Linked DNA regions of Schizosaccharomyces pombe. The gene in region 4 interacts genetically with the main gene of each other region. Each region holds a gene or a part of one and is shown on either strand. Other genes may lie near its edges.

What was found.
Region 1: of mis17 (region 4) and exo2, a mutation in one rescues a mutant of the other (synthetic rescue), as found in Schizosaccharomyces pombe (one study listed by BioGRID).
Region 2: of mis17 (region 4) and pan2, a mutation in one rescues a mutant of the other (synthetic rescue), as found in Schizosaccharomyces pombe (one study listed by BioGRID).
Region 3: of mis17 (region 4) and bud32, a mutation in one rescues a mutant of the other (synthetic rescue), as found in Schizosaccharomyces pombe (one study listed by BioGRID).

The regions. Positions count from the first base shown.
Region 1 is NC_003424.3:1,774,234-1,783,240, forward strand, and holds exo2 (exonuclease II Exo2), read left to right. Parts: upstream 1-4,256; 5' UTR 4,257-4,315; coding exon 4,316-4,330; exon of another isoform or gene 4,331-4,368; coding exon 4,369-4,436; exon of another isoform or gene 4,437-4,476; intron 4,477-4,486; coding exon 4,487-8,390; 3' UTR 8,391-8,507; downstream 8,508-9,007. Other genes in the region: UBA/TPR/DNAJ domain protein Ucp7, read left to right, coding at 25-2,118; fol2 (GTP cyclohydrolase), read left to right, coding at 2,267-2,375, 2,429-2,724, 2,836-3,138; gus1 (glutamate-tRNA ligase), read right to left, coding at 8,702-9,007. UniProt on the Schizosaccharomyces pombe protein: Multifunctional protein that exhibits several independent functions at different levels of the cellular processes. 5'-3' exonuclease component of the nonsense-mediated mRNA decay (NMD) which is a highly conserved mRNA degradation pathway, an RNA surveillance system whose role is to identify and rid cells of mRNA with premature termination codons and thus prevents accumulation of potentially harmful truncated proteins.
Region 2 is NC_003424.3:729,485-737,910, forward strand, and holds pan2 (poly(A)-specific ribonuclease complex subunit Pan2), read left to right. Parts: upstream 1-3,337; 5' UTR 3,338-3,395; coding exon 3,396-3,413; intron 3,414-3,457; coding exon 3,458-3,556; intron 3,557-3,600; coding exon 3,601-3,767; intron 3,768-3,884; coding exon 3,885-4,011; intron 4,012-4,051; coding exon 4,052-4,629; intron 4,630-4,666; coding exon 4,667-5,973; exon of another isoform or gene 5,974-6,010; coding exon 6,011-6,981; 3' UTR 6,982-7,119; downstream 7,120-8,426. Other genes in the region: karyopherin Kap111, read left to right, coding at 1-1,201, 1,242-1,479, 1,520-1,704, 1,743-1,838, 1,885-2,066, 2,132-2,222; SPOM_SPAC22G7.03 (uncharacterized protein), read left to right, coding at 2,454-3,164; kri1 (krr family protein), read left to right, coding at 7,313-7,553, 7,681-8,426. UniProt on the Schizosaccharomyces pombe protein: Catalytic subunit of the poly(A)-nuclease (PAN) deadenylation complex, one of two cytoplasmic mRNA deadenylases involved in mRNA turnover. PAN specifically shortens poly(A) tails of RNA and the activity is stimulated by poly(A)-binding protein pab1.
Region 3 is NC_003424.3:1,618,708-1,624,668, reverse strand, and holds bud32 (serine/threonine protein kinase), read left to right. Parts: upstream 1-3,376; 5' UTR 3,377-3,406; coding exon 3,407-4,012; exon of another isoform or gene 4,013-4,060; coding exon 4,061-4,171; 3' UTR 4,172-4,301; downstream 4,302-5,961. Other genes in the region: rib1 (GTP cyclohydrolase), read left to right, coding at 251-1,231; protein meu32, read left to right, coding at 1,802-2,423, 2,474-3,030; vas2 (AP-1 adaptor complex sigma subunit Aps1), read left to right, coding at 4,538-4,700, 4,754-4,884, 4,942-5,136; HOPS complex subunit Vps41, read left to right, coding at 5,925-5,961.
Region 4 is NC_003423.3:3,210,861-3,217,659, forward strand, and holds mis17 (kinetochore protein Mis17 ), read left to right. Parts: upstream 1-3,345; 5' UTR 3,346-3,410; coding exon 3,411-3,469; intron 3,470-3,509; coding exon 3,510-4,569; intron 4,570-4,618; coding exon 4,619-4,825; 3' UTR 4,826-5,078; downstream 5,079-6,799. Other genes in the region: rRNA processing protein Rrp7, read left to right, coding at 493-841, 890-1,257; transcription factor TFIIK complex ubiquitin-protein ligase E3 subunit, Pmh1, read right to left, coding at 1,471-1,612, 1,668-2,136, 2,182-2,255, 2,306-2,445, 2,507-2,610, 2,663-2,690; rtc5 (V-type ATPase inhibitor and disassembly protein linked to MTOR), read left to right, coding at 5,409-5,529, 5,582-5,642, 5,700-6,799. UniProt on the Schizosaccharomyces pombe protein: Component of the kinetochore, a multiprotein complex that assembles on centromeric DNA and attaches chromosomes to spindle microtubules, mediating chromosome segregation and sister chromatid segregation during meiosis and mitosis.

The DNA.
Region 1 (9,007 bases), on a different chromosome or scaffold from region 4:
CACTCCCATAATAAAGCCTCCAACATGGATGACTTGCTAGATTTCAATTTTTACGATAAATCTACACCATCTAATCAAAATAATTACAGTAATAATAATAGTAGAACGCCATCCTACTCCCTTCCCGCCCCAGTAGCCCAGAAAAAGAATGCACAAATTCCATTGAAAGCATCAAAGCCCGAAGACCCTTTTGCTAATTTATTTCAAAAGAAAACGGATAATAAAATTTCCTTAAAAGAACTAGAAAGGCAGAAAGTTGGAACTCCGGACTCCAATTCCACCCCCAAATCTTCAAATTACGATCCCTTTGAAAACCTTGAAATTTTGCATCAATTATCAAATACTCCTAGAGATAAAGATGCAGTTATTCATGATAAGATTGAAGAAAATAAAAGGCCGATTTCACAACCACAAGTATCGGCTTCCGAGAAAGTAACTTTAAAGGATTTGTCTTTAGAGCCGCATCAGCCTGTCAGTTTACCCGCCTTTGAGAATATTGGTTCGGAAACCTCTATCCCCTTTGAAAACCATAATGAAATTACTAATATGAATACTGCAAAGGATAAGTTAAGTTCCAACGAGATGTATGAAAAGCTACGCGATTTGGGCTTTTCTGACGATCAAAGCAGATTGGCTTTAGAAAATTCCGGGAGCCTGGAGGATGCCATAGAGTACATTCTTGAAAAAGATAATGCAAAAGGACAGTATCGTGAAGGAGAAGCTTATGAAGCATTTTCAGATTCAAGTGCAAAAACTCAATTTTCAGACTTTCAAGCGTTATCCAATCAATTAAAAAGTCAGTTATTTGAAAAGGCTAATGATCTTTGGAACATTGGAAGAAAGAAACTTAGAGATGCAGTTGAGGAGAGGCGAGCGGTGAAAGATCCTAGCAAACCTCGTTGGATGGATGCTTCCCATGATTTTGGCCGCGAAGCAACTCCTGAAATCCTTCCTAAAACCCCAATTCCCAAACGGAAGCCGCACAAAGTTCCTATGAATGAAAAGGTTTCTGAAGACAGAATCACCACTAATCAAAGCCGGTCAGGAAATGATGAATCATCTTTAGTCGATTTCTTAACTTCTAAGTCAGACAATAGCTCTTTTAACTTTCCATCCGATACGTACGAAGGGACAGAGAATATACTTGAAACGGCTTATGAATCAACAACGGCTCGTCAAGTTAACAATAATAAACCTGGGAAGTCCACTGTTAAGAAGCGCGAAGAAGAGACTTTGAATAACATGGTAAGCGCTCTAGTAGAAGAACAACAATCGACAGGAAATGAACTTTTTCGCAAAGGTGATTTTAGCCAAGCCATTGAAGAGTTTACAAACTCGCTTTCTCAATTACCTGCCAAGCATACAAAGCGTGTCCCTCTTCTCAGCAACCGTAGCTTGTGTTATCAGAAAGTTGGAGATCTCAAGACTTGCTTACAAGACGTAGATGAGCTAGTGGATATTATTGGAGAAGAAAAAGGACATGGAGAAAGCATTAGAGACAAGAGTATGAATGATTACTATGTAAAAAATATGGTTCGAAAGGCACAAGTTTTAGAGCAGCTCGAAAAGTACCAAGAATCTTTGAATATTTGGAAAGATCTTATTGCAGACGGGCAAATAAGCAAGCTATATATTGATGGTAAACACAGGTGCGAAGCAGCCATTTCTTCTCACTCCTCCGAATCTCATTCTAAGCGCACAACACAACAGCCAAAAAGTACCCCTAATCACACCAATATAAAGGTAAAATCAGAGAGGTTACAACACGTTCGAATGGCTCAGCAAAAAGCAGAGCAATTAGACGAAGAAAGAAGTCGTTTACGTGAGCCAGTGCAACAAATTGTGAATAAGTGGAAAGAGGGGAAAGAGAGCAACTTACGAGCACTGCTTGCTTCCTTAGATACTATTTTGTGGCCTGAATGCCGCTGGCAAAAGGTTTCGCTTTCTGAATTGGTCTTACCAAAGAAGGTGAAGATTGCCTACATGAAAGCGGTGTCCCGAGTGCATCCTGATAAACTACCCCAGCAGACTTCAGTGGAACATCAATTAATAGCTGAATCTGCATTTAGCATTCTTAATCATGCCTGGGAACTTTTTAAACAGCAAAACGATCTTTAATTACAAATAGTGAGACTTTGGTTCTGCGCTACACTCTCTTGCATGAACCAAGATGTGTGACAGTATTTTTGTCGGTTAGCGTAAAACATTTGCAGCGGTTTACTTATCCATTGCAATCTTAATTTCATTTATTAAAAATTTATTTCTCATGGAGCCTGGAAAAAAGGATTATATAGATTCTCCTTTGAGGATGCAACCAGCCTCACTTTCTGGCGCATCTACACCAACTATTGATTTAGACGGGCTTTCTTGGCCTTGTAAGTAATGAAAGCATATTTTATACTCATTTAAGTATTCTAATACCAATTAGGTCAAGGAACACAACGTAGAATAGATACTGCTGAGGAAGAAAAAGTAAAAAAAATTTCCAATGCTATTTCAACAATTTTGGAATGTTTGGGAGAAGATCCTGAGAGACAAGGCCTTTTGGGAACACCTGAGAGGTATGCCAAGGCAATGCTTTACTTTACCAAAGGATACGAGCAAAATTTGACCGAAGTGATCAATGAGGCAGTATTTCAAGAAGATCACGAAGAAATGGTCATTGTTAGAGATATTGATGTATTCAGTTTGTGCGAGCATCATTTGGTTCCTTTTATTGGAAAAGTAGGTTTCATTTAGAAGTGGATTTTATCCATTGCATTCACGTGATTGGGCTATGCAATTATGTTTAACCCTCTTTCACAAACTCAGCGTATTAAACTAACATTATTGTAGATTCATATTGGTTATATTCCTCGTAAGCGTGTATTGGGACTTTCAAAGCTCGCACGTATAGCCAATATGTTTTCGCGTCGCCTACAGGTGCAGGAGCGTCTTACCAAACAAGTTGCCCAAGCTATTCAAGCTGTCTTAAAACCTCAGGGAGTTGCAGTCGTTATGGAAGCTACTCATATGTGCATGGTTATGCGCGGTGTTGAAAAACCGGGTAGCAGTACTGTTACTAGTAGTCTTACTGGTATATTTCAGAGAAGCCATAAAACTAGGGAGGAGTTTTTTAGATTGATTGGAAAATTTTAATTTTGGTTTTATTTTGTTCGTTAATCGCTAGAGGTGATACCGTCCGTAAATTCCTATTACAACTAAATGGTATTATATTTTTATTTTTTTTTGCATTCCAGTTTTTGAGTTGTTAAAACAATCACTTTTTTAAATATATCAATCCTTGCATATGTTTATTTATGCATACGATTTAGCAACCAAAGATTTTAAAAGCAGTCGAAAGTTCTCTCTCTATTACTCTTTAAAAATATGAATGCCCTTCTTCAGTTGTTTTTCACGAATTTTTTTTTTTTTTTTTTTGATATCTTAGTATTATGAGAAGAAATTCGAACACATGGTCGTTTTTCATATGGCTTATTTTATTTTCTTGAAAATTGACCGGAGCTATTTCACTCCACCTTACTATTATTAGCCTCAACGTGCTAAGGAAGACGTTATCCTAATGGAAAACTACTATTTAAGTTTTCTTTTTGAACGTTGTTTCGAATCACTTTTTTGGTTACATGGTAAATTAGTCCATGTTATTATATACATATATGAAGTTTCAACAATTTTATTAATTATTTACTAAGTTTTGCTGTGTAAGACTTTCAATTTGCAAGAGCTCAATTAATAGTTTATCATCAAATATATTATGAATGAATAATCTTTGTACCGTAATCGATAAGTATTGCAAGCAACTTACAGTGATTGTATTGATATACCCTAGACACATTATTATAAAGGTAAATGTCTCGTTAATTATAAAATTTGCCAATGTTTTTTAATCATCTACTACTGCTGCAGTTTCAATTAGTCGAAACGTATTTCTTGATAAATGTGTTTGATTTGTTTTTCAAACAACTAAACTCCTTCCTTCGCCTCAATGTTTAAGAACTTGCTCTATTTTAGACTCAGCTAGTCTCAAAGACTAACTATTTTGCCATTTGTATTTTTGTTGAAAAAAATGATAATATGATAATATCTTTACTCACAATGATATCGTTAAAAAGGCTTCTGTTAGTATGATATTAAATCAAAGAGGATCTACACATTTTCAATATTTCATGTACTATATAACTAACTCCTTAAACTTCACTAACCTGGGGCCTATCGATACGTGCAAGCACCGCATATGTTGACATTTGTTCTCTACTAACAACAATACTTTCTAAATTTATTCCTATTTAACTGTTAATGAGAAAGTTCGTTCAGTATGGGAATTCCAAAGGTTGTTATCGATATTTTGTATAAGTTTTTAACAATTAGTTTTTTCGATGGATGAGCGAAAGGTATCCGCTGTGCAGTCAGCTGATTGAAAACGATCGCATTCCCGAGTATGTCAATTTAAATCATCGTTTGAAACGTATGGAGCTAATTGAAATAGATTTGATAATCTTTATCTAGATATGAATGGTATTCTTCATAACTGTACGCATAAGAATGATGATCATTCCTCACCACCACTTCCAGAAGAGGAAATGTATATAGCCATTTTTAATTATATTGAGCATTTATTTGAAAAAATTAAACCCAAAAAGCTTCTATATATGGCAGTAGATGGATGTGCCCCACGTGCGAAAATGAATCAACAGCGCAGTCGCCGATTCAGAACTGCTAAAGATGCCCACGATGCGCGTTTAAAAGCAGAACGTAATGGGGAGGATTTTCCCGAGGAGCAATTTGACAGTAACTGTATAACGCCAGGTACAACTTTTATGGAGAGGGTTTCACGACAGTTATACTATTTTATTCACAAAAAAGTTACGAACGATTCCCAGTGGCAGAACATTGAGGTTATTTTCTCTGGCCACGATTGCCCCGGTGAGGGTGAGCATAAAATTATGGAATATATTCGAACCCAAAAGGCTCAACCTAGCTATAATCCTAACACTCGCCATTGCCTTTATGGTTTGGATGCTGATTTAATTATGCTAGGTCTTTTATCTCATGATCCACATTTTTGTCTATTACGTGAGGAGGTTACTTTTGGTCCGGCAAGTAGAAACCGTTCTAAGGAATTGGCTCACCAAAAATTTTATTTATTGCATTTAAGTTTATTAAGAGAATATCTTGAATTTGAATTTCAAGAATGCCGATCTACATTCACTTTTAAGTATGATCTCGAAAAAATCCTTGACGACTTTATTCTTTTAGCTTTTTTTGTCGGAAATGACTTCCTTCCCCATTTGCCTGGGCTTCATATTAATGAGGGTGCGTTAGCTTTGATGTTTAGTATATACAAAAAAGTTATGCCTTCTGCTGGGGGATATATTAATGAAAAGGGAGTAATCAATATGGCTAGATTGGAACTTATACTCCTCGAACTTGAGAATTTTGAGAAAGAGATATTTAAAGCTGAAGTTTCTGAGACAAAAAACAATGGGAACTCTGACAAACCATCTTTTGACTTTCTCAAATATATTACTGAATCAACAAATGATATTAAAGCCATGACAGGGGAGCAGAAAAATTATTTCTTACAGATTAAAAAGTTTTTGTCTTCTCGTGAGCCGTTCATTGATTTTAGTGCAAACATTTCTTCTGTTGATCAGCGCTTTCTACGACGTTTATGTAATGATCTTCATCTGTCATTTTCCAAAATTATAAAGGTAGACGGCACTCATCTATTAAGGATTACATTTAGAGATCTTGAATTTAATGATGAAGACGAAGATGAAATTGAGCAGGACGAAATCGAACGTGTACTTCAAAAGTATGATAACATTCCTTTGCTTAACGAAGAACAAGCTTTAAAAGAAAAAAACGTCGAAAAAGATTTTATCCAATGGAAGGATGATTATTATCGAAGCAAGGTTGGTTTTAGTTATTATGATGAAGAAGCTTTAAAAGCAATGGCTGAACGTTATGTTGAAGGTTTACAATGGGTACTTTTCTATTATTACCGTGGATGTCAGTCTTGGGGTTGGTATTACAACTACCATTTTGCACCAAAGATTTCAGATGTTTTAAAGGGCCTTGATGTAAAGATTGATTTCAAAATGGGTACACCCTTCCGTCCTTTTGAGCAGCTCATGGCCGTTTTGCCTGCAAGAAGTCAGGCATTAGTACCCCCTTGTTTCCGCGATTTAATGGTTAACAGCGAATCTCCAATTATTGATTTTTATCCAGAAAATTTTGCTTTGGATCAAAATGGAAAAACAGCTAGTTGGGAAGCTGTGGTTATAATTCCTTTTATTGACGAAACCCGTCTTATAGACGCACTAGCATCCAAGGATAAATTTTTGACTGAAGAGGAACGAAAAAGAAATTCCTTCAATGCCCCAACGGTCTTCTCTTTAGCGGAGGATTATACATCGTTTTATCCTTCTTCATTACCTTCACTTTTTCCGGATTTGGTTACCCGCTGTATTCAAAAACCTTACTCTCTACCTTCGATGGAAGGTAAAGAATATTTGGTTGGTCTTTGCCCTGGCGTTTTCTTAGGTGCTTTTGGAATGGTGGGTTTTCCTTCCTTTCACACTTTGAAGCATAAAGCAGAATTAGTGTATCATGGTATCAATGTTTTTGGTAATGAAAGCAGGAATCCCTCCGTAATCGTCAATGTTGAAGACGTCAAATCTGCTTTAACGTCGGAACAAATTGCGATGCAATATGTCGGAAAACGAATTTTTGTAGACTGGCCTTATTTACGTGAAGCATATGTGGAGAGTGCTATGGACGAAAGTTACATGTATTTAGCTTCAAACAGTACCATTGAGAAAAGGGATTTGGCAGAAATTGAAAAAAGCCAATGGGGCCGTAAATGTTCCCATAAAATTAGAGAATATAGTAAACGATTTGGCGTTCTTTTTGGTGATATTTCCTTATTGCTTCAAGTACGTCCTATCAAAGGATTGGAGTATACCAGAGAAGGTGCTCTTGTTAAGATTTTTAACGAATCTGTCCTTGAGGATTATCCAGCCCAATTAGTGGTCGAAAAGATTGCTATAGATGATCCAAGATTTACCGAGAGAGAAGCTCCGCCAGTAGAGGTGGAATATCCTCCAGGAACGAAGGCTTTTCATCTCGGAGAGTATAATTATGGGCGACCTGCACAAATTACAGGATGCAAGGACAACAAGCTCATTATTTGGTTATCAACCGCCCCTGGGTTGGATGCCCAATGGGGTCGTGTTCTTGTTAACGATAGCAAGTCAAAAGAGAAATATTATCCTTCTTATATCGTTGCGAAGTTGCTTAACATACATCCGCTACTTTTAAGTAAAATAACATCTAGCTTCTTAATTAGCAATGGTACTAAAAGAGAAAATATTGGATTAAATTTAAAATTTGATGCCAGAAATCAAAAAGTGTTAGGATTTTCCCGGAAAAGCACTAAAGGTTGGGAATTCTCGAACAAAACCGTTGCCCTTGTTAAAGAGTACATAAATACGTTCCCTCAATTATTTAATATTTTAACAACACATGCTACCAAGGATAATTTAACGGTCAAGGATTGCTTCCCTAAAGATGATACCCAACAATTGGCTGCGGTCAAACATTGGATCAAAGAGAAAGGGATTAACTCTCTTACTAGAGTATCTTTAGATGAAGATGCTTTAGACTCGGACATTATAAAGCTAATTGAGGAAAAAGCAAGCACAATTGATTCTACCTATCAGGTTCCGAAGAAAGTTTTTGGCGTCCCTCGGTATGCCTTATTAAAACCTTCACAAACACGTGGAATTTTGCATAGTCAAGAATTTGCTTTAGGCGATCGTGTTGTTTATGTTCAGGACTCTGGTAAAGTTCCAATTGCAGCATACGGAACTGTCGTGGGTATTATGTTGCATCATTTGGATGTCGTCTTTGACTTGCCTTTTATGAGCGGAACTACTCTAGATGGAAGGTGTTCGCCATATCATGGTATGCAAGTTGAAGTTTCAATGGTTTTAAACGTTACAAATCCTCAGTTCGTTGTAAATACCCGTGCCGGAAAGAATAGAAAAACCAATGTTAGTGCAAATAATGTTTCTCAAGGTACTGACTCTCGTTTGGTAACGAAACCCACTTCAACTTTTCCATCACCTCCATCCCCTCCATCTTCTAGTGTTTGGAACAAAAGAGAGCATCATCCAAAGCCTTTTTCACTACATCAAGTCCCTCCCCCTGAATCATTAATCCATAAATCGAAGAGTAAGTTTAGCAAAGGTAACCACCACTCTACCAATGGTACACAATCTATCCGCGGTAGGGGTGGAAAACGTGGTAAACCCTTAAGGTCGAAAGAACTCAATCGCAAGCACGATCACATCGTTCAGCCGATGGGCAAACTTCAGATTAACTAGCCCAATTGTATTTTAGTGGTGTGATAATAAATTTTATTAGCATAGAATTCTTTAACTTTATAGAAGGTTTTAAGACAACATTATGATATGAATGAAATTTATGTGCAAATATTTTAGTAGACTTCTATACTTTAAATCTGTAGTAAGAGAAATTTCGGTTTGAACGGTTAAACTTATAAATATTTAGTATTCGGAGTTTAGTCTCAGATACAATCAACCAAACACGACTTTACAAATCATATGGAAGAAAAATATTATAAAAACAATAGAGGTAACAAAATTTATATTACGACTGGATAATATGCTCGATTCTAATTTTTAACGCCGTAACGATTTACAGTCTTACCGTCTGGAATGTTGAAGAGAACAGCCTGCGTACCATCAAATGGAACATCAACAATGTAATAACCTTTACGCTCAACTTGAATTATATCACCCTTCTTTAAATTCTTGATTCCAACGTCAGCAAAGACGGGAGAGTGGAATTCAGTTTGAGGAGTTAGGAAGTCCTTATAGTTTTCTCCTTCTTCAAGTTTGTCCTTGGTAATAAGATAGTCAAAATCAACAAGGTCGACAGGAGTTTTGTCCTCCGTATCAGCCAACCAAGTGACTTTCTT
Region 2 (8,426 bases), on a different chromosome or scaffold from region 4:
TCTTAACATTGTTATTGGATTTGCCGAAGCAATGCTGCCACAAATCATTGATCATATTCAGGAAGAAAAATCCATTCGATTGTTGTATATTTTAGCCTCTTTACTTAGTTTTCCAGGGTACGCAATAGTAGAAGAAAAAGTTAGCTGGCGTACTCTGGAATTCTGGACGACATTAATTGAGGATTTTTCGATGAGCAAAGCTGCTACGGATCCTTCAAAGGATGAAATATTCAAGCAAATAGCATTTTCTGTAGTCGAAAAAGCATGGTGGAAAATGTTATTACCCTCCCCCGAACAATGGAATTCTTGGCCTTCTAGTTCGCGTGATTCATTCAATAGTTACAGACGTGATTTGGGTGATCTTTTAGAAAGTTCTTATTCCATTTTTGGAGAAAGGCTTTATGCTATGTATATAACGACTATTGAGAATTTCTTCTCGGATGGTACAGGAAGCCCTCAATCATTAGAGGTTTCATTTTATTGCTTATGTTGTATTTTAGAGTACGACACCAATGACAGTGATACGTTAGATGCCTGGCTTACTCGGTTATTTGAAACGAGTTTTGCTATAAAGGCTTCGGCTTTCCAAAACCCGCAACTATTAAAAACCTGTTCTCAATTATTAAGCAGTTGCTCTTGCTTTCTTCAAAATCACCCTCAATATCTTAATATATCTTTGCCAGTTTTATTCGATGCCTTACACATTTCTGAAACTTCAATACAAATGACTGTCTCTCGTTCAATACACACTCTATGTACAACTTGTGCATCCCATCTATTAACTGAAATCGACGGATTCATGGCGGTGGTTGAAGAACTAACACCCAAGCTGGTATATGTACCTTCTGTGCTAGAAAAGATTTATAGCTCCGTTGGATATGTTACACAACGTATAGAAGATATTGAATTAAGAATCAGTTATCTGATGAGACTTTTAAACTGCATTCTCGCACAACTTCAACCAAGTTTATATCCTAATCTTGAAATATTCGAAAACGTTTTGAAATCCTGCCTCCAAAGCGTAGCCGGAGTGGCCTTAAGTCAGAGTCCAATTGGCGAAAGTCCAATAATTGATGTTGAGCAATCTACCCAGGAAACAACTTTTTGGCAGCAATCGTGCATTGCAGAATTTCAAGCAAAACTCATTTCCTTTTTGACCCATTCCGAGTCTATGGCGTTACAGTATTCCGACGTCGTTGGGGTAGGTGATCTGTTAAACCGAAAATACTAATATGATATAGTTAATTTGCAAGATTATGATTGCTGGTCTTAATGAAGTAGAGCCTTCTCCATTTTCATTGCCTATAGTAACTACCATTCAATACTTCTGTGACAGATTTACAGAATTTCCGGCAGCAGTTTTGCTAACGTTGGGATCAGCAATTTTGACATGTCCTTACGGCCAGACTGATATTATTGACAAAGTGCTAATTGATATGTGCTCATCGATTCAAAATTCTGTTGTTATAATCAATGAAGGTAAATAATTAGCAGCAATGTGCCATACTAACTAAAATAGAATCATTTATGAACAATATCGACATTACAGTCGAATTATATCACTTCTTTTCAATAATTCTTCAAAAACACCCCTCATTTTTAGAAACGATGTATCCAGATTTTACCCAACTTATTTTAAACCGCGCGATTAATTTGCTTGGCAAGCCTGAGAGATTGTTAGAATCAGCAGCCGGCCAATTTATTGTAAGTGATCATTATCTGTTAAAAATATTAACATTAAGATTTCATTCATTACGTCCGAAAAAAGCGACCTCCTAAACACTCATACAGATTTCGTGAATGCAATTCGAAGTCCTCTTATTGCTAAAATACTATTGGTAAACAATATTTATGCTTTTTTTGCAAACTAATACTGATTTATAGGGGTTCGGTGGAAATGCATCACGGAGCTCTTTACCGTTGCTTTCAGATATATTAGGAAAATTAAAGGCACAAAATTTCTCTGCGACAAGAGCATGCCTTACTCAGTCACTTGAAGAAGAAGGATTTCCTTCACGGAATGTTTCAAATGAGATCAAACGTCGATTTTTAACAGATCTTCTTAAGTAAGCATTATTTGTCGTTTTCATCACGTCTATGTAATGATTATCTTGTTAACAACAAATTCTAGGGCACGAATAAAAGACAAAGTAAAACAATTTTGGATACTTTGCAAAGGACTAGAAAGTACTCCTTATGGCAATTCAAGCTGGACCTTTTAAATCATGTAATAAATAAAATAGCTTGGTAGGAAACTGCCAAGCTACATAGTCTCCAGTTAATTAACTTTGTATAATAAAAGATAAGCAAAATGCTGCTTATTCTAAAATTTACGAGAAATAACATTCGTTTTTTTAAAGAAGTAAATAGGCTGAAATTTTTTGATCAAATTGGTTTTTAAGATTTTCGAGTATTTATTGAGCACAACACGTAAATTATCTTTATACTACTTAATGCAACAACTAATTAAAGAGCATTTTGGAAATGGGGGAAAGGTCAGGTCAACGAGCATTGAATACCCCATTTTTGTTCATTCTGGAAGTATCTCTGCTATGTTGCTTACTTTAGTAAATGCCCTTGAGTGCAATGATGTGGACGAAGGCGTGTTAGTATATCCAACAGGTTCGACTAATCCAATGGAAAACATTCTAAGAATGGAAAATCCATTTGATGGATTTTTAGCTAAGGAAGCTTATTCCATTCATTTTCAATCAGTTTTAGAACGAATTCAATTGATTCCTTGTTCTCATGTGGATGATTTAGAAAAAATAGTTGAAGTACGTTTAAAGCACGCAAAATTAATACTGGGAATAGCAGATATTTCCAAACTGCTAAAAATTAGGGGTTGCTTAAATGGACGTTACCTATCTAGGTATTTGATGCTTTGCTTACAAAATAGTAAAATACTTATAGTTTGTGAGACAGGAGGTTTACAAGAACGAATACCTATTATTGAAGATATTTCAATTAATGAGGATACACAACGTACCGTTAGCTTAGAAACTATTTATGCTACATGGATACCAACATTCTGGGAATCGAAAAGAAAATCGCATGAGAAAGATGAAGGACGATTAGTCGATCGAAGACACAAAGTTTTAGTAGATTGGCTTGCTAATACATGCTTTCGTGGCATGAGTTTAAAAGATCATTCTGCATTATAATTTTCATAACCAGGCGCTTAATATAATATTTAGTTCTAATGAAAAGGCATATAAAACATTGCAGATTATCAACTATATACAAATGTTTAATATAACTATTTAATATCTGATTGAAATCACAATCGTAGGTTTGTGTTGTATTACTAGTTTTCATTAGGTAAACCTGGCTTGCTATGACCAACACTTCAACTCCTAGAGAAAGAGGTTATAGTCAACTGTTTGAAATGAGAGATGGATGCGTGGAAAGAAGTAATTATTTTTATAATATTCCATTATAAATTTTAACAAATTAGATTACCAAAACAACTGAAAATGATGGTGTATCGACGTGTTCCTTAAGTTCTATTGCTTTTGATCCCTACTCAGAATTAGTATGGACTGGACATAAAAATGTAAGTTAGATTAAAGATTAATTATGAAACTAAGTAAATTCTAGGGTCAAATTAAATCTTCTTTCGGACCCTCACTAACATCGTATACTCAATTCATTGGGCATGAGGGTCCGGTGCACCAAGTATTACCACAGGAAAGGGGTGTATTTTCCCTTTCTAGTAAATCTTTACGATTGAGTAATCGCAAAGGAACAATAAGATGGAGATATCAGTAAGTATATCATGATATGCATTCTTGATCTAGTAGTTCCGTACCTTGTGTTCAGCGATCTATGATCATTTTGTATTCATGCTTTCTATGTTCAAAACATGCAGTACTAATCTCTAGGGATTCTGATTGTATAGATTACCGGGCTATGTTCTACCAGAGTCGTAATAATCCCGAAGTTGTTATAGGAGGATATCATCAAAAGCTTACGGTTGTTAATGCTGAACGAGGAATTTCAATTCATAAGGTAATGTTCCTTTGTGTCCTGTATCACTAACATTTAATAGGACAAAAACGTTAGTGACATTTTCATAATGCGAAGGAATAGACTTCTCTGTTGTGGATCTACAAATGGTGAAATTATTCTTCGCGACCCAAATAGTTTTCAGCCAGTCAATAAAGTTGTAGCGCATACAGGCACTATATCAGATATTGACACTTCTGGAAACCTTTTATTATCATGTGGTTATTCATTGCGACATGGCACATACATGCTAGACCCATTTGTTAAGGTTTGGGATCTTCGAAATCTATCTAGTCTTGTTCCTATTCCATTTCCTGCTGGTCCTACTATCATCCGTATGCATCCAAAGCTGTCTACCACTGCTGTTGTTTGCTCTTGTTCGGGTCAATTTCATATTGTTGATACAGGAAATCCCTTGGATGCAAAGTTGATGCAAATTCCGTTAACTTCTTATCTAACTGGGATGGATATAGCTTCGACTGGTGATGCTATGGTTTTCACTGATGTTGAAGATAATATTCATCTTTGGAGCCCTCTAGAAAATCCATCTTTCAGTGATCTCAAATTGCCTATACAGTTACCCAACACTTCTACTGAAACTGTGCAATTAGAAAATAATGAGTATGTTTTTGTATCAAAGTTTAATCTAACGACTTAGCCCATTGAACTCAATAGGATTGCCCTATTATAAAGACGAGCTGCTTTCTTCATGGTCAAAGTATTTGATATTTGATGTTGGAAAACCTATCCTCGACTCTAATCTTCTTATTGCAAAACAGATATCGGAAAATTCGCACCCTGTTCCACAAGAAATTAAGTCTTTCCATCGAAATCAAATTATCGAAGTCCCGTGGTTGAATCGTAAATTAATATCTGAAGGGGCGACCCCGAAGTTTCACAGCGAAAGGCAGAAAGACATAATGTCTGGAAACGATATTGAAGGTTCTGCATCTTATTTTGAAGAAATTGAGGACACAATATCTGGACCTGATTCTATACCGAAGTTTTATCAAAGACCGGTAATTAAGTATAGTAAATTCGGTATTGAAGATTTTGACTTTGGATTTTACAATAAAACTAAGTACGCGGGCCTTGAAACCGACATCACTAATTCATACTGCAATTCTGTTTTGCAGCTTTTGTCTTACGTTCCTTCATTTTCGAAAGCAGCAATTAGCCATTCATTAGGTCCGTGTGATTTAATGGAATGTTTGCTTTGTGAGCTTGGATTTTTGTTTGCTATGCTTAAAGAAAGTACTGGAAGAAATTGCCAAGCTACGAATTTTTTAAGAGCATTCTCAAATTCCTCATTTGCACAATCTCTGGGAATTGTGTTTGATGACTACTCTGATGGTACATTTCCTGATTCCTTTGTGATCCAGAAATTCACCAAATTTATGTTAACAGAGATTTCACGGATTGCTGACTACGAAGATAAAAAGGATGGGACTTCATTTCCTGTTAGTTTTTTGCTGAAATCATTTTGCATACCAGAAATGCAGACTTATCGTTGCGGAATTTGTGGAATTACTAGTCAAAAAATTAAATCATCCTTGTATATAATAGACCTTCATTATCCTTCCCAACAACTTGAATCCATATTGTCGTTTGAATGGTTATTTAAAATGAGTCTGGATCGTCGAGTTGATCTGCCTCCAGGTTGGTGTGAATACTGTTTAGCCCACCAGCCTTTCTTGCTTCGTTCTTTTATTCGTTCTTTACCTGATTGTTTGTTTATAAATACGCAAGTTAAGCACCATGAACACTGGAAGTTGTGGGCTCGAAAAAATTGGCTACCAAAGAAACTTCATTTGCGTAGAGTTAATGACACTATGCAATGCGTATCACAAAAAATATCGAACCTGGATAAGGATCAACAGTCATTATCTGTCTATGTTTTACGTGGTATAATATATGAAATTCGGCAGAATGGCGAAGAACCACATTTTGTTTCAACAATTAGAGGTATGAATTTGTTATTATCATTTTTCTAACTAGACAGTATCCGATAATACCAGCTCTGATAATCCCGATGATAATCGATGGTATATTTTTAATGATTTTCTAGTTAAAGAGGTAACTGAAGAAGAAGCACTGACGGTGCATGGCCCTTGGAAAATACCTATCATAGTGTATTATGAAAAGCTTGATACAAAGATCCCGCAATGGGACGAGGTATCAGACTATACTTTGTTATACCAACCCTACTCATTAAACAAAAACCCACCTATCAACAAAATTCAACCTCTCACAACTGATGAAATGTTGTATCCTAAAATGCTAGTGGGCATAGACTCTGAGTTCGTTGCCCTACAGCAGGAAGAAACTGAGGTACGAAGTGATGGTACTAAATCTACCATTAAACCCAGTAAACTCTCGTTAGCTCGTGTATCAGTTTTACGTGGGGAAGGGCCTAACAAAGGTTTGCCATTCATAGACGATTATGTTGCGACTGACGATAAGGTTACTGACTATCTTACGGAATATTCAGGTATACATCCTGGCGATTTAGATCCTGATCGTTCTCCATATAATGTCGTTCCTTTAAAAGTTGCGTATAAAAAGCTTCGTCTTTTGGTAAATGCTGGATGTATATTCGTTGGTCATGGTCTACAAAAAGACTTTCGAATTATTAATTTGCTGGTTCCGCCGGAGCAGGTTGTTGATACGGTTGATTTATTTTTCTTGAGCTCACGGCAACGAAAACTTTCTTTAAAATTTTTGGCTTGGTATTTGTTGGATGAAGAAATTCAACTAACGGAACATGATTCTATTGAAGATGCCCTAACTGCTTTGAAACTTTACGATTGCTATGATAAATTAAAAAGTCAGGGTAAGCTAGAGGAAACCCTTGATAACATTTATGAAGTTGGTCGTCGGTTTAAATTTCGTCCTCCTTCTGTTGCATCCATGTCACTTGAAGATCGCAATTCTTATGGCGATGAATCTGTCATATCTAATCAGACAAATTAAATGATTAGGAAATTACTTCGGCTTTTTTTTAAAAAAGATTGTTTATATATTTACTGAAATGGTAGTAATCAATTTCATTGTGTATTTTTCAAAATTAATACTACTTATAATGTTCCGATATGTTAGTCTACTAGTTGCAACTTATTCAATTTAGTTTTTTATTCTTCTTGTTCTTCGAATTCTCATTTTTTATATTATTAATTGAAGTTAAAAACTCACCACCATTTGCAAATTTAGTTTTTGGTGGTAACTTTTACAGCAACACTGCCAACTTTTTTCACTACTTGTTGTTAAAATACCCCACCAAACTTTTTCCATTACCATTCACAAGATGCCCAGAAAAAAATCAGCAGCTAAGAAAGCACGTGAAGCTTTGGTTCAAAAAAAGGTTATCAATTCCAACGTACCAACTGATAAAAAGTCAATTGATCAACTTCAAGAAAACGTTACTAGCAAAAGTCACTTATTAGAGGAAAGCAGCTCTGAAGATGAGGAAATTAATTCTTTTCAAATTAACGAAGAATATGCAAAGCGATTTGAACACAATAAAAAGCGTGAGGAGCTTCAAAAGTGTAAGTAAATTTTTTTGTAATGGCTTTCTTGCAATCAGTTGAAAAGCAAATCTTTGGCGATTATTCTATTGCTTATGAAATTTCAATTGAAAAGAAAACGTGAATCAGGTATACTAACTAAAATTAGTAGAAGCAAAATACGGGGAACAGATGGCTAATGGAGTGGATGGTGAAGGCAGCGATGAGAGTTCCAGTGAAGAGGAAGAAGATTCGGATGGAGAACTTGTCACTCCTGAAGTGGATGCTGCTATTTTACGAATGATTGTCAAAATTCGGAACAAGGATCCTGATCTATATGATTCTCAACAGAAGTATTTTGATGAAGTCGAAAAGGATGTGCAAGGATCATTAAAAAGTAAGGACGGGTTTCGCTCCGTCACACTAAAAGACTACCATCGTCAAAAATTGTTATCGGGCGAAATTTTAGATGCGGAGGAAGATGAACCAATGCCAAACGATGCTAATCCCACTCACGTCGAGGAGCAAGAACGTTTAAGAAAAGAAACAATAGCAGCGTTTCATGATGTCAACGGGAATAAGGATGCAGTGAGCAATGAATCTGACGAAGATGGTGATTTTTTAGTAAAGAAAGAGAAAACGAAAAAACAACTTGAAGAAGAAGAGCATGGCTATGAAAGGTTTTTGTTGGAAAGTGCACAGAGTAAGGAAGCTAGAAAAGTTTTAGAAGATTTATCATCCTCGTATGTCAAACAGCGTCCATCTGTTCTTGTTAATACTGAAGATGATGAAAATGGAATTAAGCCGTCAGATGAAGATTTTTTATTGAAATATATGATGAATCGTGGATGGCGAACTTCCAACACCAAACAACCTTCCTATGAAGAAATTATTGATGAGGTTGATGCCGAGAAC
Region 3 (5,961 bases), on a different chromosome or scaffold from region 4:
GTAAATGTTGTATTTTCCCACAAATTAAACAATAATTAGTAAAAAAAAAGAAGATTAGTAAAGACGGAAGTAAATAAAGGTGATTTGTAGAATGAGTGCCAATTTTGAAATTTCTTAGTAAGCTATTCGTACACTTTCCAGACAACAGGTTTCAGCCTTCACAAGCGTGGTTAATGACAGATCACCATTAACCCACATCTTCTTTTTAACATCCATATTAGTACTTTTTTATCCTAATAATTTACTATAAATGGATAAAAAAGAGGGCGATCAAGTGCATCATGACAAAACATTGCTCCAGGATTTAAGTCTTCCTGAAAATGTTGCTTCTGAAAAACGTCTGCCAATTGACGATGTACAATGTGTAAATTCGCCTATGTTAAGTCCTGCGCTTGATATTGAGCCTAAACCCAACGTTGTCGGTACTGCTGAAAGGCTTCCAAAGGTTCGATGCGTTGTTAGAGCAAGAATTCCTACAGTTAAGGGGACGGAGATTTTCCTCCATTTATACAAAAACGATTTTGATAATAAAGAGCATTTAGCAATTGTTTTTGGTCAACAAATTCGCTCAGATAGTCTTGATGCTGTGCAAGAAGGCGAAACAGAAATGGACCGTATGGTACGAGGCGCATACGTGGGGACACTTTATCCTGGCCGTAAAAGCTCTTATATTGATGTTAACTCTTCAAAAACTACCGAAGAGCAGAAAGAAGAAGCACGGAAGACTAATTTTGTACCGCTGGTTCGAATTCATTCCGAGTGCTATACCGGTGAAACTGCTTGGTCGGCTCGTTGTGATTGTGGTGAACAACTTGATGAAGCAGCCCGTTTAATTAGTGAAGAAGGGAATGGTGTCATAATATATCTTCGTCAAGAAGGTCGCGGAATTGGTTTGTCCGAGAAACTCAAGGCTTATAATCTTCAGGATTTAGGAAACGACACCGTCCAAGCCAATTTACTGCTTCAACATCCAGCAGATGGAAGATCGTATGCAGTTGCTACTGCTATGTTGATGGATCTTGGTCAGCGTGATATCAGACTTTTGACGAATAATCCTGAAAAGGTTAATAGCATTGAAGGCCCAAATAAAGAAGTTCGTGTAGTAGAACGGATTTCAATGATACCCAAGTCATGGAGAGGTGAAAAGGGAATTGAAAGTGCTGAAGTAGTCCTTTATCTCAAAACTAAAATTGAGAAAATGGGACATTTACTTGACTTACCAGATTCATAATGGTGCGATTCAAGCATTTTCACACTTTTCGCCAATTATGGTTTTAACTGCTTCCTCTTTATAAATGGCTACTCTTCGTGTTTACGTGCAGTTTTTTGGAGTTTGAAGAGTTAAATCTTTTTTAATGAATACCAAAAACTCCTTGGTCTTTGAAAACTAAATTATTAAAGCTGCTGTACTCATTCTTGTGAGGGTTAACATCGTTGACCCTTTTAATAGACATGAATTTGAACCATGCTTTTAATGTCTACTATTTCCAGTCTTAGCTCTTGTGGTAACACTCTCAACCTTTTTGTATTTTTTTTTTTGCAAATTAGTGCTTAAGTAATATGTCTTAAGCTGGTTTCTCAGTTTCTTTTTAAGAATGAATTTTCAATGCTCTTAAAGCTAGATTGTTTATTACATTTGTTGAGCTTTTCCTTCTATTGACGAACAACTCAAATAAAAAGTTCTTTGATTTTTTTCAACTGCCTCAGTATATATGTTTAGTATTTAAATTAGCTCACTTCATTACCGCGTATTTCATGCATCCAAAGAAATAAAGCAAACCACCACAAATTACAGATAAAAATGGAAGTTTACTTATCTGAGTTTATCAATTGGAAATTGTATGAATTCAAAAAAATTAACGAGTTAGGGACAAGTACATTTAGATACTATTTTAAGGGAAAGATAGTTAATTTAAAAAATAAGCGTGTCTCATCCAACGAGGTTTGTTATATGTTTAAACTTATGGATGATACTGGAATTGTTGAATTGAACTATAGTTTATCCAAGTATTCGCCAAAATTTGAAATGCTGAGACAGTTACAACTCGGCATTTCAGTTTTCGTCTATAGCGACGTAGTCTGTCGTGTTTCTGGGATAAGAGCTTGGAAACTACAGATTCATTCCAAAAATTTGGAAAGCAAGATTGAAGCTACAATTTCTGAACCAGAGCAAATACCATGTCCTGGGTTTGGTAGCGACAATATTGTTCCGCTGTCACTAGTGAATGACTTTAAAGATGGGGCGTTCGTCAATGTATTAGTTGCAATACAGTGGAAAGAAGAATTCGAGATATTTAATAATGAAACAAAAAAATCTCTACCTAAACAAACGATACACGTACACGATATTTCTGGATCAGCCATGATCGTGTTGATAGGAGAGTCCCAAGTTAAATCCGCTCTCAGTTGGAACAATGAAACAAGTATGTAAAGATTTCTATTCAGGTATGTACCTACTCACCAAAATTTTTAGTTTTGTTGATTCATAATGCAATTGCCTACCGAACCAATACCGGAATGCTGGAATTGTCAATTAAAGATGCAATAATTCAAACACTTCAGTCATTTGATGGTAAAGTTTTGAAACTATTAAATTTTTCAATCAAAAGAAAAGAACTTATTAAGATAAATGCTTATAGATTGAGCACCCTAGAGGCTCTTGAAAAAATAGCCAGCCAATCTGGAGAAGCTTTTGGGCAGGTTGGCGTTTTAATAATGCAAAGTAAAATTAAAGATTTAACAAAAGAAGGGGGATTAGTTTATGGCAATGATTTGACAGGTTTGAGATTTGCAGATTTAATAAGCATAATTGTCGATGAAACTGGAAGTGTTAAAAACCCAAAATTTAGTCAAAAGCTTTTGGAAGAAATTACAAATATAGCTCCTACGGAGTTAAGTGTATTGAATGAAGAACAAGCAATGCATCTAGAAAACGTCTTCCTGTATAGACACTATCGAGTTTGTGTTGGTTTTCTGAACAAACAAATTTACGTGTTTTCAAGTGATGAACCCTTAAAATCATACATTTAATTATTAAATTAAATACTCTTAAGTTATTAACATTAACATTAAATCAGCATATTGATTCTGTAAAACCAGACTTGATTTGATATGCAGCAGACACTAATAAACTGAATTAAAAAAAAAAACGAACATATAAGGCTATGATATTAAATGAAGTGTCAACTTTATGCTGTAATTTTTCTTGGATAACTCAATTAATTTTTGTATTACATTTAAATCGTGGGTAAATAACAGAAATTAATCAATTTAAGTCTAAAAAATATTTATTAGTATTTGACAGTTCTTACGATAATTTTCTAAAGACAGTTTAAATTTGTGACATTTTCGGATCTCTAACGCATATTATCATTCCAAATCCCATCTTCATTTACATAACTCTAAAATGTCAGAAAAACCTGACCTTAGGCAAAGATGTTCTGATATATATCGTGAAATAAAGGAAAAGAAATTAACTGTGGTAAAGCAAGGTGCAGAAGCAATCACGATAAAAACCGAGTTTTATCCAGGTGAGGTTTGTCTTTTGAAGTGCCGACCTGCGAAACGATGGAGACATCCTATTTTAGATCAGAAATTATCAAGAAAACGCTGCTTAGTGGAAGCAAGACTTTTAGCAAAATGTCATTACGTTGGAATAAAATGTCCCATGCTGTACTTTATAGATGCCAATCGTGGTCAAATATATATGGAATGGATTGATGGACCTTGTGTACGAGATTATATTCGAGAGATCTGCGAATGTGAGATTGAAAAAAAACTTATTCCTTTAATGAAGCGAATAGGATCAGAAGTTGCGAAGATGCATAAGAATGATATCGTTCATGGAGATTTGACAACTAGTAATATGATGCTGGAGTCTCACAACAATCCGGTCCCAATTTTTATTGATTTCGGTTTAGGAAGCGTTTCCGAATCTGAGGAAGATAAAGCTGTGGATATTTACGTCCTAGAGAGAGCTTTATCAAGTACTTTACCAGAAAGCGAATCTTTGGTATGTTAACTATTAGACTTAAAGCACTTAAATTCTAACTGTTTGAAGTTTCATCATGTTTTAGACTCTTATGCCCAAAGTTGGAAACAATCTAAGGCAACACTTCGAAGATTTGAAGAAGTACGAATGCGTGGCCGTAAACGTACCATGATAGGATGATGTTCTAAATACTAGTCTCTAGAAAATTTTTTATAAAAAATCTTTCATTTATTGTTTAGTCTTTATGGTATCCTTCATATGGTTTAATTAGTCTATGGACCTTTTGCCGATGCCCTATGTATTTAGTTGCTTTAGAGTTGGCACACGCACTACCTAACTACCGCTATCAACACCAAGCAATAGTGAGCGTTAAGTCAATCTTGGCAGTCAACGTTAGATAACTGTTTTGTTTCTGATTATTTATTACCTTTTTTTTGTAACCTTTATGAGCTTTCGTCCATAGCGGTTACGAATTGAAACATCGTTTACCTTATAGTGTCAATCCCCTTTAAAGCAGCGTATAAGCATTTAATAAGCTTTTATAAGATGTCTATAAAGTTCTTTCTACTCGTAAGCCGCCAGGGAAAGGTGCGTTTAGCTAAATGGTTCAATACTTTGTCAATCAAGGAGAGAGCCAAAATAATCCGTGATGTTTCTTCACTGGTGATTACACGAAAACCAAAAATGTGCAATTTTGTTGAATATAAAGGTAAAAAAATTGGTATTTTTATTCAAAATATGAATTAACTGTATTTGTCTTAGGCGAAAAAATTGTTTACCGACGATATGCTTCCTTGTTTTTTGTTTGTGGAATTGAACAGGATGATAATGAGTTAATTATATTAGAAGTCATCCATAAGTTTGTTGAATGCTTAGACAAATACTTTGGTAATGTACGGCTTTCCCCCTGATTTGATTGAATTTGAATTGTACTTTTATTAACCGAGTAGGTTTGTGAGCTTGACCTCATTTTTAATTTCGAAAAAGCATATTACGTTATGGAGGAATTACTACTCGCAGGAGAGTTACAGGAATCTAGCAAAACAAATGTTCTTTCTGCAGTTCTAGCTGGTGATGCAGAATCGGAAGCTGATGCCCAGCAAGATAGCCTCCAAAAACTTGTGGGCAGCGTGAAGAAGCGTTAAAAATGTAACCGGTAATTGATTTCACTTTCTGTGATGAACGGGTTAAAAAAAATAGCTCTCTTCCATTTTATTACCGATTTCACTTTTCATTACAATTGTGTGTGTGACTGACATAGACCTAATTTGCATGTATCCATACACCGAAGTTTATCTTGTATCACGTTGATCATTTCGCAATAATCTGAAATGTCGTCGTTAATAACGCTTTACGACATTAAAAATCTTATGTTTTTTTTAATCATTTTCACATTGGTTTTAACAAACTGTGTTCATAGATGATATTCAGTATTGATATAAACCATCGACACTGTCATTCATGTCTCCCGTTTTACATGTTCATTATAACACTGCTGTAGTTTTGAATATTTACATTTTGCAATACCAAATAGCTAATAGTCATCGTTCACCCAGCTTTATTATAAAAGTTTAAATATATGGTCATCTACTACCGTAAATTAAAATGTACATTTGCTTGAAATTTTCCTTAATTTGATCAAATTTGAAAGAATTGTATTTTATTTGTTAATAAATCGTCTAATATTTGTATATCTTACTCACTCGTCCATAGTCATTCATACATTCATGTAGGCATTTTGTTATGTCATTGCAATTCCACTACTCATAAAACTAACACCTACTATATATTGTCACAGTTATTTTATCTACGTTTGTTACTCGAGTTCTCAAAATTGGTATTATTATAGTAAACATATTACAGTTCCAGTTTGAAGATTTTCACTACTACTAAGGCTAACTAGTTTTACCATTTACACCACAAAATTTTATGCATGTCTGTCGATGAGAGCAATTCGGACAGTGAAATTG
Region 4 (6,799 bases):
CAAAAAGTTACCTTAAGCGTGTGCAGTAATTTATTCAAATATCAATAATCCTTTTAAATGACTATACCGAGCACTATACTTTGTATGAGTAGGCTATAAGGATCTTTTTTAAAAACGTTTATCTTGGTTAGGAACACTAAATGCAATTAGCAACCACGCATATCAATATAGCTGTATTTTTTTATTAATTTACAATCCAACACCTCTAGCTCCCAATTCAATTATTACATTGCTTTTTGGAGCTTTTATTTAGCAGCAAATAAATTACAAGTTGTATAATTACATTTTTTTTTTAATCCTAGAAAATAAGCAAATCTTAGTTTAATTTTCGCTTATTCTAACATTCTTAATGTATATTGTATATAATAATAATTATAGTCACAACGAGATGAAGTATGCGAAGGTATAAGAGTATACAGCTCCTATGGTCTTGCCCTCGGTCAAGCTCAGTAACAAATTGCATTTTACCCAAGAACCAAACAACTCATATAAATGGACAAGCTCAAAGAAAAAGGGTTTGTTAAACTAGAAATTTATTTGGAAAATAAAAAGAGGTTGCATAGTATATTTTTGAAAGAAGACACGGAAGATGTTGAAAAGAAGTCACTGTATTTGATTAATGTTCCTATCACAACTACTGAAAAGATTTTGAAAAGAGCAATTTCTCAATTGGGCGGTCGTATCGTTAATATCTATCCTAATATTAGTGGCCTTTTGAAAAGTGGCACCCATTTACGCGTCAAATTAGTCGAGCCCGCTGAAGTTAAACAAGTTATCAAGGCAGCTTCTAAAAAGACGACCTCGCTTCCTTGGAAGTTCACACAGCATACTGGTTTGAAACGTAAGAACATGGTCATTATTTTTTTGGAAATACTAATGTGTTTAATAGGTTATGTAGAAAGTTATGATAGACAGTTTGTCAATCCACGTGTTCTAGCCGAAAGTGTTGATTCATACATGAAACGTGTTACTAAAAAGGAAATAGCAGAAAAGAGGAGACTATTCGCTATGAAAAATCAACCTGATGAAGATGGATTCGTAACGGTCGTTCGCAGCGGCCGGGCACCTGTCGGGCGACCTCAGGATGCTGAGCGTCAATTGGAAAAGAAAAAAGACACTGGGATCCACAAAGATTTTTACCGTTTCCAGCTTCGGGAAAAGAAAAAGAAGGCTCTTTTGGATTTAGCTCATAAGTTTGAGTTCGATAAACAGCGTATCCAACAATTAAAAGAAAAGCGGCAATTCAAACCGTATTAATATTATAGGTTTTAATCTTTTTGGGAGCATCACAAGGATTTGTTTTAGTTTGTATATTTTAGGGATAATGGTAATATACAAAGGCTATGATTTACTAATACAAAGAATAAAGTATACTTACCACAAACGTATATAAATATATTAGTATGAAAATGGAATAGTCGTTTACTTAAAAATGAAATGTAACTGCATGGTGAGAGCATTAAAGCAAGACTAACTTGCTACTTCAAGTTTTTTGAGACTTTCTAAATCGTAATCAATGCCACTAAAAGCCTCATATAAGCATCGCAAATGACAATCTTCTATACGGAAACCGCATTTGCGGCCTGGTTCATGCGAAACTTTTTCCAAATATCTAATCGAGTTGTTAGTATGATATTTATGGGTGATGCTACAAAATTGACACTTACAAATCTTGATAGGTGTTTTTGGAGTATGAAAAATACTTGCTCCCATCTTTTTCTCCAGCAAGAGGACTAAAAGGCGTAGTATCCTCTGCTACTTGCTGAACATCAGATAGAAGAATTGAAGATGAACGTGAAATGTTTGAAACCGAAGAGGCAATGTTTTCTTGTTGCTTTTTAAGGGAATCAGATAGTTGGATAATTTTGTTAGGATCTTTTCCTGATGTAGCTAAATCAAAAATAATTTGTTGCTCAACCTGTTCACGTCTTTCCTTTTCTTTTTGATGCTCACGTATAGCCGCTTCTCTTGCTTCTTGCTTTTGGCGTTTGAGAAGAATCTCGTTTTGAGCCAAAATGCGTGCTTCTGCGGCGGCTCTTGCAGAATTTGCTGCTATAGAATCTCGATTTTGTTTTTCATATTGTTTAACTTTTTCCTCAGTTTCTTCAACGTCGATTTTATAAATCAAATTAAATGCTAAAAAAAATTGTTAATAAAATTCTGACGCTGTCAATAACATACTTAAAATTTCAACTTCTTCCAAGTAGTCATTGTAAGCCTGCAAGCTGTCAAATTCTTGCTGTCCTTTGTTAAAGCTAAAAACGCACGTTAGAGTAAATTAAAAAAAAAGCTACAGTGTTCGTACATTCGAGATATCCGCTTCCGAACATCGACTTCGCGCTCAATTTGAGCATCTTCAAATGTTTGCTCTCGAAATTTGGCTTTTCTGAGAATTTTGTTGCACCCAGGAGTAGGGCATTGAGCAGGTCCAGTTGTAAATATTCTCTATGAATTAGCAAATCATGCTTCATTTCTTATTTGTATTAACAAATGCAATCAAACATACGTCTACACAAGACTCACACATCTTGTGATAGCACTCAGGGTTTATAAGTAATTTCATATTTGGATTTAAATATCTGTCCGCCTGGCACAACGGACATTTTTCATCTATATGTCTCGGTCAGCTTTAAAATAAATCAGGTAATTAATTAATGCTTACCAACTTTCCTAGCACCTTCATCGTCCATCTTTCTTTTATAGTTTACTTTTATTAATTCGTATTATGCAGTGAACGGGAATGACAAACGATAAATTCAAAGTTTCAATCGAATTTATGTTGAATAGTAAACGTTACTTTTCGGATTGTATAAAGAAATAATATTTGGACAAAAAAAGCGCGCAATACGTGGTGTTAAACTTTTAGAAGTAGTCGCCTTCAATATTACAAACACGACGACCATCAACTCATTCCCTAGCTACCAGCTATCTAAAGTCTTTTGAGTCCAAAAATACGAAAATTTAGATTAATGTAATAATAATTATTGAACCAACATAAATATTAACTAAATTTGGTTCCGTTTGTCGTATAACTTGGTAATTTCTATGTATACGGGCATGCAATCAGAAAACTTAATGGACATTTACTAAATTTGATCAGTTTGTTAAAAAATAAAATTATCTATTTTATTCTCACATAGGAGTTTGGAAAATTTTCAATAGTTACGAACTTGAATTTGAATGTTTTATATATATGTCGAACATTTAACTATTAAACTACATAGGTGTAATTTGTTTGCTTTATGAATACGTAGTTTAAAATATATGGTGTTAAAATTATTATTTGGGCTGTACAAAGAATAGCTAAAATCAATTCATGACTAGAAAGAAAGGCTGGATGAATTCGTCAACTACCAAAACCCCATGTTTGACTATACGCGTAGAAAAGCAAAAATTTTGCATGAAATATTATGGAAAATAACTCCCATAACGTAGATGAGCGACGAGCAGCACGAATGCGTGGAGCTGAGTATGTTATTTCAAAACTTTGTAAAAATTAACCAATGTAGACGCTACAAAATTCAAAATGTTGAGTTTTCATTAGATCAAAACCTTCTGGCCAATTTAGAGTCATCTACTTCTAGTTCAACTCGTTCTTCGCCTGCTTCAAACCAACAAAACCTTGAAATTGTATCTCAATCAGAGGCATATCATAAAATTAGCGATTTGGATGACAGTACATCTATTTTTTCTATTTCCGATCAAGAAAATATACTTGAAAGAAGGATTTCTGAAGAAGTAGTTCGGGAAAATTCCGTTTCCAGCATCGAAAATGTATCTTCATCGGCTGTCGCACGTGAGACGCAGAGTAGCGCAAATATTTTAGTCAAAGACAATCATTTTTTTTCTCATAAGCAGAAAAAAATACAAAGGGAATCCATTCCGTTTCACAAACGTGATAATATAGAAACCTCTGATGCATATAGTTCTTCAATCCTAGAAAATTCACCACCTAACAAAGTACAAAGGCTGTCATCTCTCGACTCATCTCAAGATTCGTTCCAAGAGGAACATCCAGGCAATGTGACAGGAACAACATTTAGTTCTCAGGCCCCTGAAGAGCGAATTGCTTCTCCTATCTCCACTTCTTCTCCGGAATCTTTGACGAATCAAAGTAGTAGTCTGCAAAGTTCCTTACAGACATCATCAATGGCTCCTAGAAATCTTTTGGATCAATCAACAGAAAAGGATATTGTAGTGGGAGCCTCAGATGAGCTCGTGCGTATCGAGTTAACCAAACTTTCTAAAGAAGCAGGAGGGTCAAAGACTCTTAATGAGCTTGATGCCGTACAGCAATTTTTTCAAGAATTTATAAAAGAGAATGAGCCACTAGAACCCTATGTAGTCAAGGTAAAAAATGCGTTTGTGGAACAAGTTTCTATTCGTTTACTAGAGTTAATAGACTTGCTGGACGCTAATCGAATTTTATCAACAGCTTGTAAAAAAGCAGCAAATGAGAAACTAGCTGTTCAACGGGATCTCTCGAAATTGAGGGAAGATCGACTATCAGTGCAACGTAAAAAAATACAGTTACGAAATGAGTACATTAAATTGTCCCATCAACAAAACGTACGCATAACATTGGCTCTTTAATTTACGCTTAACTAACTTAATATAGTTTTTGGATGATATTGACGATTTCTTCTCACAATGCGAAACAGTGAAAAACGAATTAGAAAATGTAACCACAACTCCAAACTCTACCGAAGCTTTTTCAGAAATAAATGAATATGCGTCTGCTTTATCAAAAAATTATGGACTCGAATCGCAGCTAGTTGAATTACAGTCTTTACTAACCCAATTTTATCAAAAATTCCTTTCCTAAAAGTTGCCATATCGCAACTTCTCCGCTGTCTTTCTATCACCTTTTTGTATAATTTTTCATTTCGGTGCGTCTGTTTGGGAAATCGGCTGGATTTCTACTGTTTCTTAAAGTTTTGCTTTTCTTGTGTTCTAAACTACCCTTTATCTTTTGCTAATGTGAAAGCTTTGATTGGGTTTTTGTATATAAAATTTTTTGAAATATGAGTATATGAATATATGAATGTATAATAAATGGCATGTCATTATTACCCCAATTTTCTATTTCGACAGCATTTCCGTTTTAAATTGTATGCTGCATAATTTTCTAGTAGAAATTCGACTTTTTCGTCACTAACTTGAACTGCTTACACTTACAATTGAGCATGTATTTTTTTAACAAGTTAGGAAAATAAAAAAAACAAAAAAATGCAAAGGAATTTGCTTCTAAATGGATATCTTTGTATATCGCGTTTGTTTTCAATTTAGATGAGTATTAAGTGCAATATTAGTTAACTTGTAACTTCGTTTAGCACAACTCTATTTTCATAGAATATGAAGTCATATTCACTACACTCTGAATCACGCCGAAGATACCCAGCCCAAAAATGGGTCAAAAGGAGTCCCAATTTAAAGTTCTTTGGCAGTTACAGACTCATGAAGAATATATGAAACAAACTTCTTCTTTCTTACGAGACTTTAATGCTTTAGAACGGTATAATTTAAAAGGTTTGTCAATTTTCGTAATTTTGTTTAACAAAGCTAATGATTTAATAAAAAGAGAATTTCGAGGCTTTATCAAGCTTTGATAATGGTGAAAAAATTTGGGTTGAGGATGCCTTGTATGTTCGCTTTTAAAGGTATTGTTGAAATTGTTCATTCTAACAAAGGTGCTTTAGCACGACGTTCTTTGGAATTCCAGACGTTATCCAACTTTCACCATTTTTTTATCGCTCCGCTTGTAGTTTTGGAAGGGATCTTAATATCAATAGGCAACGTCTTACATTTTCTGCTCTCGCGAGATTTCTTGCTTCTTACACTGGTCGCCACAAAGATGTTTGGAGTGATTTTGAGAGCAATTTGATGATCATAGCAAGTTGGTGTGACTCTTTTCCAAAATTTAGAGTAGAAGTTTTAAAAAATTCTAAACAAATTTCGCGGTTAATACATAGTGATGTTCAGAACATAAGCAATTTTTTTGATCAAAACTTCGGTATACGGAGGTCAAATATTTATCAGCTATGTTTGCTGTTACTTTGCATTTCTAAACTTAAGCCTGGTGAATCGGTTGGTTGTCATATTAATTCGTTTTTGGACTCTATGTTTGTGAAAGAACAAAAAGCTGCCTTTTATGTGCTACAAGGTATAAGTCCGGATATATCTAGTAATATTATAAAACCGAGTTATTTACTTCATTTTCTTGAGTCAAATCCATATTTCCTTAAATCTCTAGGATCTTTATTTGAGTTGGCACTATTTCCGCATTCAGCTCACAATCAAAAAGTGCAAGATGATGTGTCACCGTTAAACGACTTTGCAATTCTGAGCCCACTTATCCATGCTCAAATCTGTTTTTTTTTACCCAAATCTGTATGGCAGGTCAATGGCTTGACAAGTCTGTTTAGAGCAAGCTTTCATGGTTACTCAATGTACGCACTAGAGAGAAAAATGTGTAATTATCACAATCCTTCGATTCTCTTAATTAAAGCAAAGAAAATCAATGCCAATCACAAATCCTCTTCTAGACCAATATCATTAGATGCTACAATTCCGAGAAAATATCCACCACACTGCATTGGGACTGATAAAGCTGTGCCTCAAAAATTTGGTGCAGATTTTCACAATGAAAATATCTTACTTGGTGCTTATATATCCACTCGTTGGAGACAATCGCATATGGGATTTTTTGGAGACCATTCAACATTATTATTTCAACTTCAGCCTATACATCAAGTTTATTACGCTTCCAATCTTGATAAAAATTACTGTATGTTCGACA